Linked DNA regions of Saccharomyces cerevisiae S288C. The gene in region 3 interacts genetically with the main gene of each other region. Each region holds a gene or a part of one and is shown on either strand. Other genes may lie near its edges. The genes, in order: CEM1, ELO2, TSC10 and CSG2.

Region 1 (3,959 bases), on a different chromosome or scaffold from region 3:
CTTCGGCTAGAGACGCCGGGTAATAAAATATATATCCTCGAATGAACCGCTGGCCTCGGCCATTTTCATATGACTTCATATCATTAATATGGCCGTAGGTTAAGCAATGCTACGTGAAAGATACCAATTCCAATCGTCTGCTTTCTCTCAAGAGGAGACTTTGCGTTCTTTAAAGGAGCAGAGAAAGAGGGAAACGGTGAAAAACTTCAATATTGATAACATCCATCAGCGTCTAAATTCCTATGCCTCCTTCGAAAATGGTCAATGTTATACCCTCTCCCATTAGATATTACCGTAGCGTACGTATTTGGCCCTGTCCTTTGGGGTTTGGCCTTCTCAAGTATTTTGGCACCTCGCCCTGAACGAAAAGCTGGCACTTTGTCCCCAGCCAAACTCTTCTCTCTAATATCGTCTTTAACGACAAGGTAAAAAGATTTCTGCAGTGTTCCGTCTGCGTCATCATCTGTGCCCCACAATCCGCGGCGTTTCCGTGTAAGCCGTCAAGTGAGGACTTTTCGGATGCTGAAAGAAAGTACGCTCGGAAAAACTACATAGCTGCCCCCCTAAACGGGCCTCCCACGTGACGTAAAGTAGGAATAATAAGAAGCCAAGTCGTTTCTTTTTATTCTAAATAAGTTCGTTTCTTTTGATGTTGTCATTTTCAGAAATATATATATATGCGCTTAAATACACAAGCTAAAACAACATAGTTAGGATTGCCAAAGGTTTCTTTTCTACTCAATTTGGTCTAACTCTTTTCATATTAATAGCGCCAACCAGCTAGTGTTTACCAGATCAGTGGAAAAACATAAAACAATAAAAACAATATTCGGAATGGGATTGACTACTAAACCTCTATCTTTGAAAGTTAACGCCGCTTTGTTCGACGTCGACGGTACCATTATCATCTCTCAACCAGCCATTGCTGCATTCTGGAGGGATTTCGGTAAGGACAAACCTTATTTCGATGCTGAACACGTTATCCAAGTCTCGCATGGTTGGAGAACGTTTGATGCCATTGCTAAGTTCGCTCCAGACTTTGCCAATGAAGAGTATGTTAACAAATTAGAAGCTGAAATTCCGGTCAAGTACGGTGAAAAATCCATTGAAGTCCCAGGTGCAGTTAAGCTGTGCAACGCTTTGAACGCTCTACCAAAAGAGAAATGGGCTGTGGCAACTTCCGGTACCCGTGATATGGCACAAAAATGGTTCGAGCATCTGGGAATCAGGAGACCAAAGTACTTCATTACCGCTAATGATGTCAAACAGGGTAAGCCTCATCCAGAACCATATCTGAAGGGCAGGAATGGCTTAGGATATCCGATCAATGAGCAAGACCCTTCCAAATCTAAGGTAGTAGTATTTGAAGACGCTCCAGCAGGTATTGCCGCCGGAAAAGCCGCCGGTTGTAAGATCATTGGTATTGCCACTACTTTCGACTTGGACTTCCTAAAGGAAAAAGGCTGTGACATCATTGTCAAAAACCACGAATCCATCAGAGTTGGCGGCTACAATGCCGAAACAGACGAAGTTGAATTCATTTTTGACGACTACTTATATGCTAAGGACGATCTGTTGAAATGGTAATCCTCTAAAATCGAACATATTTGAGTAATAATTCTCAGATACAGTCCTATTCTATATTCGCCACAAAACAAGTAATGATGCTAAAAAACGACACATTTATAAAATCACATCTTATTGATTAAATAAATACGTAGATAGATTTTTTTTTTTAAAACATATAGTGTGCTATTATTTCTGACTCTGTCTCATCTCAGAAAAATAAATGATAAAAAAGGAAGTAAAATCCTTAAACGTTATCAGGTTATTAGCAACTTGAAAGTGACAGGAGCCACAACGGATTAAAATTTAATTTCTAGTAAAGAAATGTCAAGAAGAGTGGTTATCACAGGATTGGGCTGTGTAACGCCGTTGGGAAGATCATTAAGTGAGTCATGGGGGAATCTGCTCTCTTCCAAAAATGGACTCACACCAATCACATCTTTGCCCAACTATAATGAGGACTACAAACTCAGAGAAAAAAGTATCCCATCAACGATAACAGTGGGGAAGATTCCAGAGAATTTTCAAAACGAAAATTCAGCCATCAATAAACTGCTGTTCACTAGCCAGGATGAGAGAAGAACCTCAAGCTTTATCAAGCTAGCACTACGTACAACTTATGAAGCGCTTCACAATGCTGGTCTCTTGAACCCAAATGATATAACCATCAATACATCTCTGTGCAATCTGGATCACTTTGGTTGCCTGATAGGTTCTGGTATAGGATCCATTCAAGACATATACCAAACTTCTCTACAATTCCATAACGACAATAAAAGAATAAATCCATATTTCGTCCCTAAAATCCTTACAAATATGGCAGCTGGTAATGTTTCCATCAAGTTTAACCTTAGAGGATTATCCCATAGTGTTTCCACAGCATGCGCAACAGGTAATAACTCCATTGGCGATGCATTCAATTTTATTCGGTTAGGCATGCAAGACATCTGTGTCGCCGGTGCAAGTGAAACGAGTTTGCATCCGTTAAGTTTAGCAGGTTTCATCAGAGCAAAGTCGATTACTACAAACGGGATCTCTAGACCCTTTGATACACAACGTTCTGGATTCGTACTTGGTGAAGGATGCGGAATGATTGTCATGGAATCGCTAGAACATGCTCAAAAGAGAAATGCAAACATAATTTCTGAGCTCGTGGGCTATGGTTTAAGCAGTGATGCCTGCCATATTACCTCCCCTCCTGCTGATGGAAATGGTGCCAAAAGAGCAATAGAGATGGCTCTAAAAATGGCTAGATTAGAACCAACTGATGTTGACTACGTCAATGCACATGCTACATCAACTTTACTAGGCGATAAAGCAGAGTGTCTGGCAGTAGCCTCAGCACTCTTACCAGGAAGATCCAAAAGCAAGCCACTGTACATATCCAGTAACAAAGGTGCAATTGGCCATCTTTTAGGTGCAGCTGGCGCCGTAGAAAGTATATTTACAATTTGTTCCTTGAAGGATGATAAGATGCCGCATACCTTAAACCTGGACAATGTTCTGACTCTAGAAAATAACGAGGCCGATAAGCTACATTTCATAAGAGACAAACCTATTGTGGGAGCTAATCCGAAGTACGCATTATGCAACAGCTTCGGATTTGGAGGAGTTAACACATCTCTTCTCTTCAAGAAATGGGAAGGGAGTTAATATTATTAAACTTATATATATATCCCATTATAATCGTTTTTGAATTATATGCTATCTATTCGAATGTCGAGATTTATCCATTAAAACCAATCATTTCAATGATTAGCAAAAATATTAATCAATTAACATTTAGTCATCGACCGAAATATTTGAGTTCTAAAGGTCTTACAATGTTATAGATGATGAACGCCCAACTTCCGCCTAACTCGAACCCAATGTCACCGCCGTACTCTCCGATCAAACGACTGATCTCACCAACCCAATAAGTTTGGCACATACCCAACGCTACTCCAAAGGCACCAGCAATTAAGGCAGCAGTACCTGCGATACCGATAGGTAGATGCTCCCAATTATCCCAATCATCAATATTGTAAGCACTGAAGGAACGCCTATAAATAAAATGCTCTGAACATGCAATGGCAATATAAATAGCCAAATAATAACCAATGGAATCCATAAAATTCTCCATAAAGCCGTCAAAGTAATAGGTAGCAGGGATGGAAATACCTAAAGTGGCAGCATTACCTGCCATTGTCCAGACTACTCTTGGTATTTTAGCCAAAGGTGCCCACAAAGCTTGAGCGGATAAAGCGACAGTGTACATTCCAGGGACATTATTAGCAACAGTTGAAAGAGCCAACAAAACACAGCAGAATTGACCGAATCCGTTTAGAGAGTTAGGGACCAGGATAGCATATATGACACCACCCATGGCGTTTTTATCATAATATGACTTCCAG
Region 2 (3,512 bases), on a different chromosome or scaffold from region 3:
TTACAGAGCGTAAAGTTACCTAGAGCATTTATAGATGAGCGTGCGTCCGATTTAAGAATGACTATAAGAACAAGAGGAAGAAGTGCCACCATAAGAGAAACGTATGAAATTATTTGCGACCAAACTAAGTCAGTACCGTTAATGATAAACGCAAAGAATATTGCATTTGCTTCAAATTATGGGATAGTGGAGTTAGACCCCGAATGCCAATTACAAAACTCTGATAACTCTGAAGAAGAGGAAGTGGACATTGATATGGATAAATTGAACACTGTGCTAATAGCAGACCTAGATACTGAAGCGGAAGAAACAAGTATACACAGTACGATCTCCATCCTCGCTGCTCCTTCAGGTAACTATAAGCAATTAACATTAGTGGGAGGAGGCGCTAAAATAACGCCAGAAATGATAAAAAGATCATTGTTGTTATCTAGGGTTAGAGCGGACGATTTGTCAACAAGATTTAACATATAAAAGACTCGGATAAAATTATCTGATGACTGTCGAAAGGAAACGGAAAACTTTTTTCAACGATAACATGTGTATGTAATATATAACAAAACCATCCGGTCTTTTACAATATAATAATAGTGATAATAGTAACAATAGATCCACTAAGAAAAAACGAATATACGAAAGTTGAATACTTAAATTCTTTCAAAGATTTTACACTTACCTTTTTCTTCTGTGTTGAGGTTTTGGTGATGGAGATGGAGTAGGAACGTTTTTCAAGTCAACGTTAACATACTCATTAACCTTTGCGGCAACACCGCCGTGGGCACGCTTTACCACTCTACTGGTTTTGGTGCCTTTACGTTTATAAACGTTAATGTAAAATGAAATAAATAGTACCAAATATGAAGAAATAATGGCACAACCTGCAAAGGTGGCAGTTGTTGAACCCACACAGTCACCACAATGTGGCAAAATTGGGAAATACAAGTGAACTGCTTTTTGGTAGACAGCAAAATATATGAAACCGATATCCAAAACAAATTGGATAATTTGAAATCTGGTAACCCATTCCTTCCACCAGACCCTGATGCCTCTGGCAGCCAAGAAATAGTACCAATACATAACCACGTGAACACCAAGGTTCAATGAAATAGGGACCCAAGAAATAGATGTGGTGCCCATCAATTGGGTGTAACATAATAAGGCAGTAGCGCCATGGTGATAAGTATGCAAAAATGTCAATTTTTTATGTTTTAGCACCAAGAAAAAGGTGTCTATAAATTCAATAAACTTGACAATGTAATTCATGTAATATAATGTAACGAGCGGTTGAGTCCAAGCACCAATATTACAGATAGCGAAGTATAACCCGTGCTGAACAATAATTGGCACTAATTGTTCAACCATAAGCAATAAAAGCGTCAATGAAAGTGAAGTTAAAACCAAATTATGCAATTGGAAAAGGCCATTTAATTTAAATGGTTTCGACTTACTTAACAAAAACCTGCCACCAAAAATAATAACGTAATAGGCAGTGATGGCGTATAGCACAGGGGGCAAAGTGCTTAATGGTAATTCACCTGCAATGAATTGGAATTCGCTTGGAACAAATCTACCGTTAGTTACACGAGTGACGACATCATCGAAATGTTCCCACAACGAAATATTAAAAAATGGTCGCTCCAAAGTTGGTAAATAGTCATGAAGTTGGGGATAACGCTCGAACAACGGAGCAGCATATTGAGTAACGAGTGAATTCATGGCTTCTAGACGAAGATAATTAGTTCAACCTTTTCACTTTGTACAAAATTGCTTGTGGATAATAGTGAAATGAAAAATATTTTCCAATTTTTCATTGACTTTTTCGCGATGTTTATTTCTCTGTGGGTTTTGCGATTTTCAGCAATGGCCGCACGCCAGGACATGTGAATACGTACAAAAATAAAATGTGACATATTTACACGACACTTAAATAAAGTCGTTTAAAATCGGAAAAAACTGTATAATGCAGAAAAAATACGAAATTACAATTATAATTAAAAACTCCTCCCTTTATATATATACATATATATATATATAATATAGTACACTAACACACGTAAGGTAATGTATGCTCGAGAGTTTCACCAACCATTGGATGGAAAAGAAGTAGAGCATATGTATTGCCCGTCTCAGCCGTTTGTTCAATTATTATTTTCCTTTTTAGATAAAAAACTGCTCATTGCATCTGGCGCGGAGGCAACCGCAGCCAAAGCTGCCAACGGATCATTCGAAAAATTGAACTTTGGAGGCGCACGACTTATTGGACTAGTGCGAGGGGCCGGTAAAGGGAAAGTAGGAGTGCCTTGAGAAATAGCATGCTGAAATGGCAGCAACGGCCTTCCATCTGGGTTTGATTGCCCATTCCCATTTACAGGATTTAGTAATGCAGAAATAGAACTCGATCTTGGCGTAGTAATATTCGGTTTTATTTCTTGTACTACAATATTGTTCATGCTGGGAGTGTCTTCGAGCTGTGCTTCGTGTCTTGAAGCGCTTTGGAAAGAAGATTTCATGCTTCGATCCGAATTATTCAATAGATTGCTGATTGTCGTCGATTTACGGCCAATGTCAATTGCATTCCTTTCATTACTGAAGTTTTGATTATTTGTTACTGACGAAGCTGCATCAGCCAACGTGTCAATATGGTCTAAGGGCCTGTTACGCAAATCTGTCACTGTAGGTTCTGCCATTTCTGAACGAGGAAACTGAATAGATGGTAGTCTTGGTGGTGGTAAAGTGGTTAAAGGAGCACTAATTTTAGAAAAGGTATCACGATGAAAATCAGGCCCAAATGGTCTTATAGAGCCATCGATAGATGAAATAGATGTATTATGCCCATGAGTTGGTTGTCCAACAAAATAACCCAAAGCCGGTCTTTGTTGAGGAGGAATATTACTATAGGCATTGATGTTTGGTCGTTCTGGTTGTATCAAAATTTGAGATTGTTGTACAGATTCTGAACTAGTCCCATCTCGCTTTAAGTCGGTTTCATCAACCAGTAATTTCCATCCATTGCGAGCTGCATTTCTTTGGTAGTAATTCCTTACCATTGTAGTAGATTTGGTACCCAGTTTTTCTGATATGAGAGACCATTGAGAGCCAAACTCCTTCAACAATTCTGGAAAGAGTTGAGATTCACGAACACTCCAATAACTTGTTTTATGCTCTGGTGCAGATTTGTGTTTCTTTCTCTGTAACGCATTCTCTAAACTGAAGTCAAGTTCTTTGGTCTCCTCTGGATAATAACCATTCTGAACAGCTCCTTTTGGATCCATTATTTGTACCCCATTGTTGGTTTCTATTACACTGGACTTATTGCTCTCTTCTCCAACTTCATCATGCGCCCTTTTTAAGTCGTTTACCCTCTCAGCATTTTCCAATTCACCTGCAAACTCTTCGCCTCTCTGTTCAATCATATTTTCAACTTTTTCCGGTGTACCTAATGGATCACCTTTCACTTCAGAACCTTGAACTAGAACCGGCTGAACATTTTCCTCGGCATTGTTCTCACTTTT
Region 3 (3,120 bases):
CTCCTTTTCAGCAGACTTACTAGTACTGGCAGCAGCTGCAGACACTTTGGAGTCAAATGTCTCAAATGATATTGGTGGCAATTGTGCAACACGTCTTTTCAAATTGTAGCGATGCCAATCGGACTTCATGTGGGCCCGCTGCTCGTCGCTTGAATCAAAGGTCAGGACACATGAATTACACGTATAAACACCACTGCTACTCATCGTATTGTTACTGATATGCTCTCTTCTTGACTTCTAATGAGAAGCATCTCATAACCTGTACTAAAAGTGGAAAGAGGAAAATTTTTTTCACCTCATCGCATCGGTACCCATAAGAAAAACTTTCAAAATATAGTAAGAAAAGAGAATAAAAATAGGAAAATATCGCCGTGGTAATAATGTTATAATTAATATTTCGTATATACTTATACATGTACAAATAGCTACACCACTAGGGTTTGTCTTGAAAGAAATAAAGAGAGTCACGGGGAATATCGGGAATGAGAGTGGATGTGCTCTCAGTTGGCCTTCTTGCCGTCATTTTCACGAAACCATTTCCTGATATACCAGGAACAGCCAACCATGTAGAATGGCACGACCAGAATGTTTGATAGGACACCAAAAATCCATTGCAACGGAACAAAGCGGCTTTTCTTTGCGGTGAGCCCAAGGTCCATCCCCATTATCATCCATCCGACAAAATCTGTAAAAACGTCATCATCACCTCTGGCCAGCGACTTGGCAATGATATCACATGCTTGTTTGCATGGGATAGCGTCTGAGGGGCCTTCGATCAACTTTGTAATTTCGGGTTTCGTTAGCTGCTCTACAGTGAAACCTTCGCTTTCAAAATTACCAGGATAAACACAACTGATACGGAAGTTCGTCAGTTCTTGTCTTAAGATTGCTACCAGTGATTTGATTGCAGCTTTTGCAGGCGCATACTGGGAATAGCCCACAAATGGGTAAAGCGCGGTGGCACTAGAAAAGATGATGAGGTGGTGTTCCTTGGTTTGCTCTGCAAGGGCAATCTGATGTGCCACGTTCAAAGTTGTTTTATAGTTGATGTCCATACCCAAGTTCAACTCATGTCCGCTTAGCCCACGAAATAACTTAGGAACAGCCCCCCCTGCACAGCATAACGTTTGTGTAGGGAGTAAATCCAAGTCTCTCAGGGCATTGAACAAACATTCCACGGATTCGTAGCAGGACAAGTCGCATGGGTAGTAAAATAACCGTTGCTCAAGGTCCAAGGGCGCAGCCAACTTATGTTGCACTTGGCCCTCGTCAGTGGTTTCCCTTCTCAGGTGAGCTTCAATCCTAATTTCGTTGCATGTGTCCAGCAGTCTAGCCTCTGACCTACTGACGATAATAATCTTTGTGTTTTCAGCCTCATTATAATATTTTTTGGCGAATTCCTTTCCAAGACCTTGTGAACCACCAGTGATCAACACAACTTGGTCTTCTAACGTAAACTTCATTACCTACAAAAGATTATACCGATAACTTCTTTTCTTGAGGCAATCTTATTTAATCGCTTCCAGTAAATGCAGAGAAACTCCTCTGCATTTTTCATTTTTTTGTTTTTTTTTTGTCGTTTATTGTTTTTTAGCCTTACGTTTCACGTTAAGGAACAATGATAGTAAAATTACTCCAGGAAATACAAGTAGCACAAAATACGGAGGAATACGATATGGAAGCAACCATCAAAGTGGTACTGCTAGGAGATTCATCAGTGGGGAAAACCAGTATAGTGACTAGGCTCAAATCAGGTAAGTTTCTAGCAAAACATGCGGCTACGATAGGTGCGGCGTTCATCACCAAGACAATCGAGGTTCCTTCTAACGACTCCTCTACGGAGAAACGTATCCATATGGAGATATGGGACACGGCGGGTCAGGAACGGTATAAATCACTGGTGCCAATGTATTATCGAGATGCGAATATTGCTTTGATTGTATTCGAATTGGGAGACGTATCCAGTCTGCAATGTGCAAAGACATGGTTTCAAGATTTACAGGACCGTGCTCAGGGAACGCAGGTAATTATCGTGGGCAATAAGTACGATTTAGTCTGCGAAGAGCATTCAGGGGAAGTGACTATACCGGCGGAGTTACAGGGTCTGCCGTATGTGGCCGTAAGTGCAAAGACAGGGTACAATTTCGATACATTGAATAAAATAATAATCAGTTTGGTTCCCGAAAGTCAATTCAAGACATTGTCAAAGAACAATGAACAGGGAAATATACTGGAAATAAATAAAAAAAAAAGCGGCAGTGGCTGTATATGTTAATACATAAAGTATTTGATTTTAAATCATAATTACTTAGATATCACCTGGGACAGGGTATTGACCGACCCACTTGGAAATCTCGCCAGACAAAGCAGCGACTTCACTAGATTCATTACACAACTTCTTGAACTCATTGAGTCTTGATCTTGCATCTAGTTTCGTTGTTGGTTCCAAAGTTTTCAAATTTTCAGCGAGCTTAACGGCAGAATCAATGTACTTTGCGACTTGAGAAAACTCTTCACGGCCAAATCCTCTCGTGGTCATTGCTGGAGTACCGATTCTTAGACCAGAGGGGAAAAGAGCACTCTTATCACCTGGGATGGTGTTCTTGTTAGCAGCAATGTTCAAGGCACTTAAAATTGTCTCGACACGAGCACCGTCTACCTGAGTACCGGATAAGTCAATAACAATCAAGTGGTTATCGGTACCGCCGGAAACCAACTTATAACCCATCTTGGTTAGTTCCTGAGCAAACCATTTGCTGTTGTCGACAATTTTTTGTTGGTATTCTTTGAATTCTGGAGACATCGCTTGCTTTAATGCCACTGCCATTGCACCGATAGTATGGTTGTGAGGACCACCTTGATGTCCTGGGAAAACTGAGAAGTTGATTTTCTTTTCTAACTCATATGGGATTTCCTTGCCCTTTTTGGTGACAGACTTGATACCCTTTCTGAAGAAAATCATAGCACCTCTTGGGCCTCTCAAGGACTTGTGAGTGGTTGTGGTAACTATATCGGAATGTTCAAATGGAGATGGGACAACATTGGCTGCCACCAAACCGGATATGTGTGCCATATCACTCATCAAATATGCGCCGCATCCTTGGGAAATTTCCTTGAATC
Region 4 (3,877 bases), 430 kb from region 3:
GTGGAAGTAGTAGACATCGTGTATTTCGAGCTTTGAGAATACAATCTGCCACTTCCAAACAGATTGTTACTGGGCTGTTGCTGGGGTGATAGATGGTAGGGGTCTACCGGTAGATCTGCATTATCGCGGGGGTAAAGGTTACTCCCCTCACTTAGATGTATGACAGCCTCGCCTGCTCTTTTGGGAGACTCTTGTAGATTAGCAGCATACCTGTTCGGAGCAACTGGAGAGTTATGGGCACTATCGCGGTAAAATTGAGTTCTATGGCGACGGTCTGGGGAGTATCTTAGTGCAGCTCTCGAAGGAGATGCCGGAAGGCCTTGGAAAACGTTAGATTGGTCATAGCTATCCTCCAAACTCTCCTCACTGGGATTAGCCCACCGAGAGTTGCTGTTAGCGTTTGCGTAAAATTTGGAGAGGTTTGAAGCACCACGTCTATTAGGAGAGCCATTCGAAGGTTCCACCATAAACGGGTTTCTCGTCATTTCTATATGTGGTTCTTTGGTTTTTATTTGGGTCTATATGTAACTTCCTCTGTTTTCTCTTCTGAGTCACGAAATCAACAGTAATATTATGGAAGATAGTTAAATAGACTGGGGCCATCCCAAGGGAGAGTCCTCGAATTCCCAATTGAAACTAAATTGAAGTTCTGTAAATTTCAATATCGATGCTATCATACTCAAATAGGAAATATATAAACAAATAGTATAGGGGTTTATACTAGGGTTTTAAACCCCAAAAAACTAACCCTACTATCTTCTTTTCAGACCCTAAATTGAAGGAAATAAACGGGAATAATAATCAATAGCGATCTCCCGAAGAGAAAAGTGAGAAAATAGTATAATTGTGTCTATTGTGTTTATAATCGGCATTAGAAACGTATGTTCGTATAAGGCAAGGGAAACAGAAAAAACAGCAAACGTAGAAAAGATGCTGAAGTTGTCAAGAAGTGCCAATCTAAGATTGGTCCAATTGCCAGCCGCAAGATTAAGTGGCAATGGCGCTAAATTGCTCACTCAAAGGGGATTCTTTACTGTAACGCGCTTATGGCAGTCAAATGGCAAGAAACCATTAAGCAGAGTACCTGTGGGCGGTACTCCCATTAAGGATAACGGCAAAGTGCGAGAAGGCTCGATCGAGTTTTCCACGGGAAAGGCCATTGCTCTATTCCTAGCAGTCGGTGGGGCACTTTCTTATTTCTTCAACAGGGAGAAACGCAGATTGGAAACACAGAAGGAGGCTGAAGCAAACAGAGGATACGGTAAACCTTCACTTGGGGGACCCTTCCATCTGGAGGATATGTATGGCAATGAGTTTACGGAGAAAAACCTTCTCGGTAAGTTTTCTATAATATACTTTGGGTTTAGTAACTGTCCTGACATCTGTCCTGATGAACTGGATAAGCTAGGTCTATGGCTTAATACACTCTCTTCAAAGTATGGTATTACTCTGCAGCCATTATTTATAACTTGTGATCCAGCAAGAGACTCCCCTGCTGTATTGAAAGAGTATTTGAGCGACTTTCATCCCTCCATCCTGGGTTTGACGGGGACGTTCGATGAGGTGAAGAACGCATGCAAGAAGTACAGAGTATACTTTTCTACGCCTCCAAACGTCAAACCGGGCCAAGATTATTTGGTAGACCATTCCATCTTCTTTTATCTCATGGACCCTGAAGGACAGTTTGTTGATGCTTTGGGTAGAAATTATGATGAAAAAACGGGCGTGGACAAGATCGTGGAACACGTTAAGAGTTATGTGCCTGCAGAGCAGCGCGCCAAGCAGAAGGAGGCATGGTACTCCTTCTTATTCAAATAAGATTGTAAATATATGCTACTTTCTTCCTTGTATATACATATATACTTATAACGCTATAACCCGTTCTTGTAATATCGGCTATCACCCGGCGAAGGTGTATCGCAAGAAAAAAAAAAGCTCTCTCACTCTAAAGGAGGCTATGTGAACGTGGGAAGATCAAGTGAAAGAAATGTTTGTAGGCCATTTTCTTCCAGAACAGATCCGCTCTTGAGCTGGTGAGTTAGCACGATAACAAACAAAGATACAGCGTCATGTCTACCACACTACTTTGGTTTTCAAGTGTAATAGGCTACGTGATTCAAACAAAATGTTTGTCTAACATACAATCTAAAAAGGAAATCTCCGTGGGGCCCAATGGTACAATTGCAACGCCTGAAACTAACGGCGACAACGGAAACTCAAGTTCATTAACCTTCTATCTGACCTTTATGTATTTTGCTTCGTGGCTGCTCTTGGTGCCTGCATCTCGACTTTGGGAGAAGATGAGACCGATGTTTGTCTCTGACTCAGACTCGAACAGGAATTCTCAGTTTGACAACAACAACAGCGGGTCTGTGACAAACGAAGATGTCGATACGTTCTCGCACGTGTTGGATGATCCTCAACCACGGATTCCAGCCCAACAGCAGAAGCAAAAAATCATATCCGTGGCTACCTTCAAATATGTGGCTAAGCTAACAGTGCTGGCTCTCATAATGATTGTCGCTGATTTGACTTATAACATGGCTTTGTCATTGTCACCGGCATTTGATGTTGCTTTGATGCAAAATACTGCCATTTTCGAAATTGTCACTTTACTATATGGTGTTTGTGGAATCTCCAGGAAGAACTACGTTTTCCGTAATTTCCTCATCATGATGAACGCGGTCATTGGAATTTTGATCATCTCATACACGAAGGCTACCTGTGACATGCTTGCCGGAAAGCTGTCCGTCAACCCTAACACGGGTGAACTTTCTGACCCATTCTTGTTTGATAGGTTGAAAGGTGCTCTGATTTGCGGCCTTGGTGCTTTGATTATGGGTCCTTTTGCCGTGTTATGGAACCGTTGGTTTTGCAGTAACATTTCCAAGAACGAAAATTCTGCTGTAGTCTTGGTTAAGCAGAGCACCCACATGGCCCTAATCGGTATTATTGGCATGGTAATACTTTTGCCATTTATTCCTAAATTTCCCTCCCGTGAGTCTGTGGAATCCATTTCGTTGTTCTATAATGACAAGAGCTTTTGGTTCTCTCTACTAGGCTCGATTATCTTTGGTTCCTTGCCGAGCTTGATTTCGATATTAGAGTTGAATCGCAAGGCCCCTGCTGAGTATTTGACGACGTGCAACCTGGGAGCTATTATCTTTATGGGGTTAGCTGAGTGGGTTTGCGAACCTACGCAAACCACAATTGTGAGATGGGAAGTCATAGGATACATAATGCTAACGGTAAGTTTGTTGGTCCTATCAGTAACACTCGGGGAAGGTAAATACCACCATTAGTACGGACAACATACTTTATATGACTGATGATGATGTAACAAGCATATGCAATTATTTGGTTTCCCTAAATAAAAAATCCCAATCAATATCTTGATTATTTTCAAGACAATTACTAGGATGTTCTTCTATTTTTTTATTTTTATTTGTATATTGTATATTCTAAAAAGAAGAAGCCATTTGGTGGGCTTTATTATAAATATTAAGAGGCATACCTCCGCCTATCCGCCTATCCTCGTCATGAACAATCAATTAAAAGCGCTTATAAAGCGATATACAAGTACAGTACGCGCGATTTCTACAATACAAAAAATATACATCAAGAAAAAAAATGTTTCCAAAAATTATCTAAATGCATCGAAGGCATTAGGAGAAGTAGCTGTGAATACAACACCAAGATTCATAAAATGAACACACGGTTCCTTCCGCTTGGAAAATAATGCGACAAAAATACCGTATTGATCATCAAAGTAGTTTTAATAGATACCTAAAAAAACCATCTTGAAAAATCTCAAATTACGTTCTTGATCTTGTGTCATTGTTCAGTTACTGATCGCCCGCAAACCTAACCGATGCTT

Evidence for each region.
Region 1: mutations in TSC10 (region 3) and CEM1 together harm fitness more than expected from each alone (negative genetic interaction), as found in Saccharomyces cerevisiae (2 studies listed by BioGRID).
Region 2: mutations in TSC10 (region 3) and ELO2 together harm fitness more than expected from each alone (negative genetic interaction), as found in Saccharomyces cerevisiae (2 studies listed by BioGRID).
Region 4: mutations in TSC10 (region 3) and CSG2 together harm fitness less than expected from each alone (positive genetic interaction), as found in Saccharomyces cerevisiae (5 studies listed by BioGRID, with this or other methods).

The regions. Positions count from the first base shown.
Region 1 is NC_001137.3:277,558-281,516, reverse strand, and holds CEM1 (fatty acid synthase CEM1), read left to right. Parts: upstream 1-1,890; coding exon 1,891-3,219; downstream 3,220-3,959. Other genes in the region: glycerol-1-phosphatase GPP2, read left to right, coding at 835-1,587; FCY22 (purine-cytosine permease), read right to left, coding at 3,353-3,959. UniProt on the Saccharomyces cerevisiae protein: Possibly involved in the synthesis of a specialized molecule, probably related to a fatty acid, which is essential for mitochondrial respiration. Is essential for oxygen uptake and the presence of cytochromes A and B.
Region 2 is NC_001135.5:188,796-192,307, reverse strand, and holds ELO2 (fatty acid elongase ELO2), read right to left. Parts: upstream 1,717-3,512; coding exon 673-1,716; downstream 1-672. Other genes in the region: exosome non-catalytic core subunit RRP43, read left to right, coding at 1-474; SNT1 (Snt1p), read right to left, coding at 2,139-3,512. UniProt on the Saccharomyces cerevisiae protein: Component of a microsomal membrane-bound long-chain fatty acid elongation system, which produces the 20-26-carbon very long-chain fatty acids (VLCFA) from long-chain fatty acid precursors and is involved ceramide and inositol sphingolipid biosynthesis.
Region 3 is NC_001134.8:736,925-740,044, reverse strand, and holds TSC10 (3-dehydrosphinganine reductase), read right to left. Parts: upstream 1,464-3,120; coding exon 501-1,463; downstream 1-500. Other genes in the region: SLM6 (Slm6p), read left to right, coding at 1-109; REI1 (Rei1p), read right to left, coding at 1-204; Rab family GTPase YPT10, read left to right, coding at 1,676-2,275; glycine hydroxymethyltransferase SHM1, read right to left, coding at 2,309-3,120. UniProt on the Saccharomyces cerevisiae protein: Catalyzes the reduction of 3'-oxosphinganine (3-ketodihydrosphingosine/KDS) to sphinganine (dihydrosphingosine/DHS), the second step of de novo sphingolipid biosynthesis.
Region 4 is NC_001134.8:308,506-312,382, reverse strand, and holds CSG2 (mannosylinositol phosphorylceramide synthase regulatory subunit), read left to right. Parts: upstream 1-2,069; coding exon 2,070-3,302; downstream 3,303-3,877. Other genes in the region: chitin synthase CHS2, read right to left, coding at 1-485; Cu-binding protein SCO1, read left to right, coding at 931-1,818. UniProt on the Saccharomyces cerevisiae protein: Required for calcium regulation. May regulate calcium accumulation by a non-vacuole organelle. Also regulates the activity of CSH1 and SUR1 during mannosyl phosphorylinositol ceramide synthesis.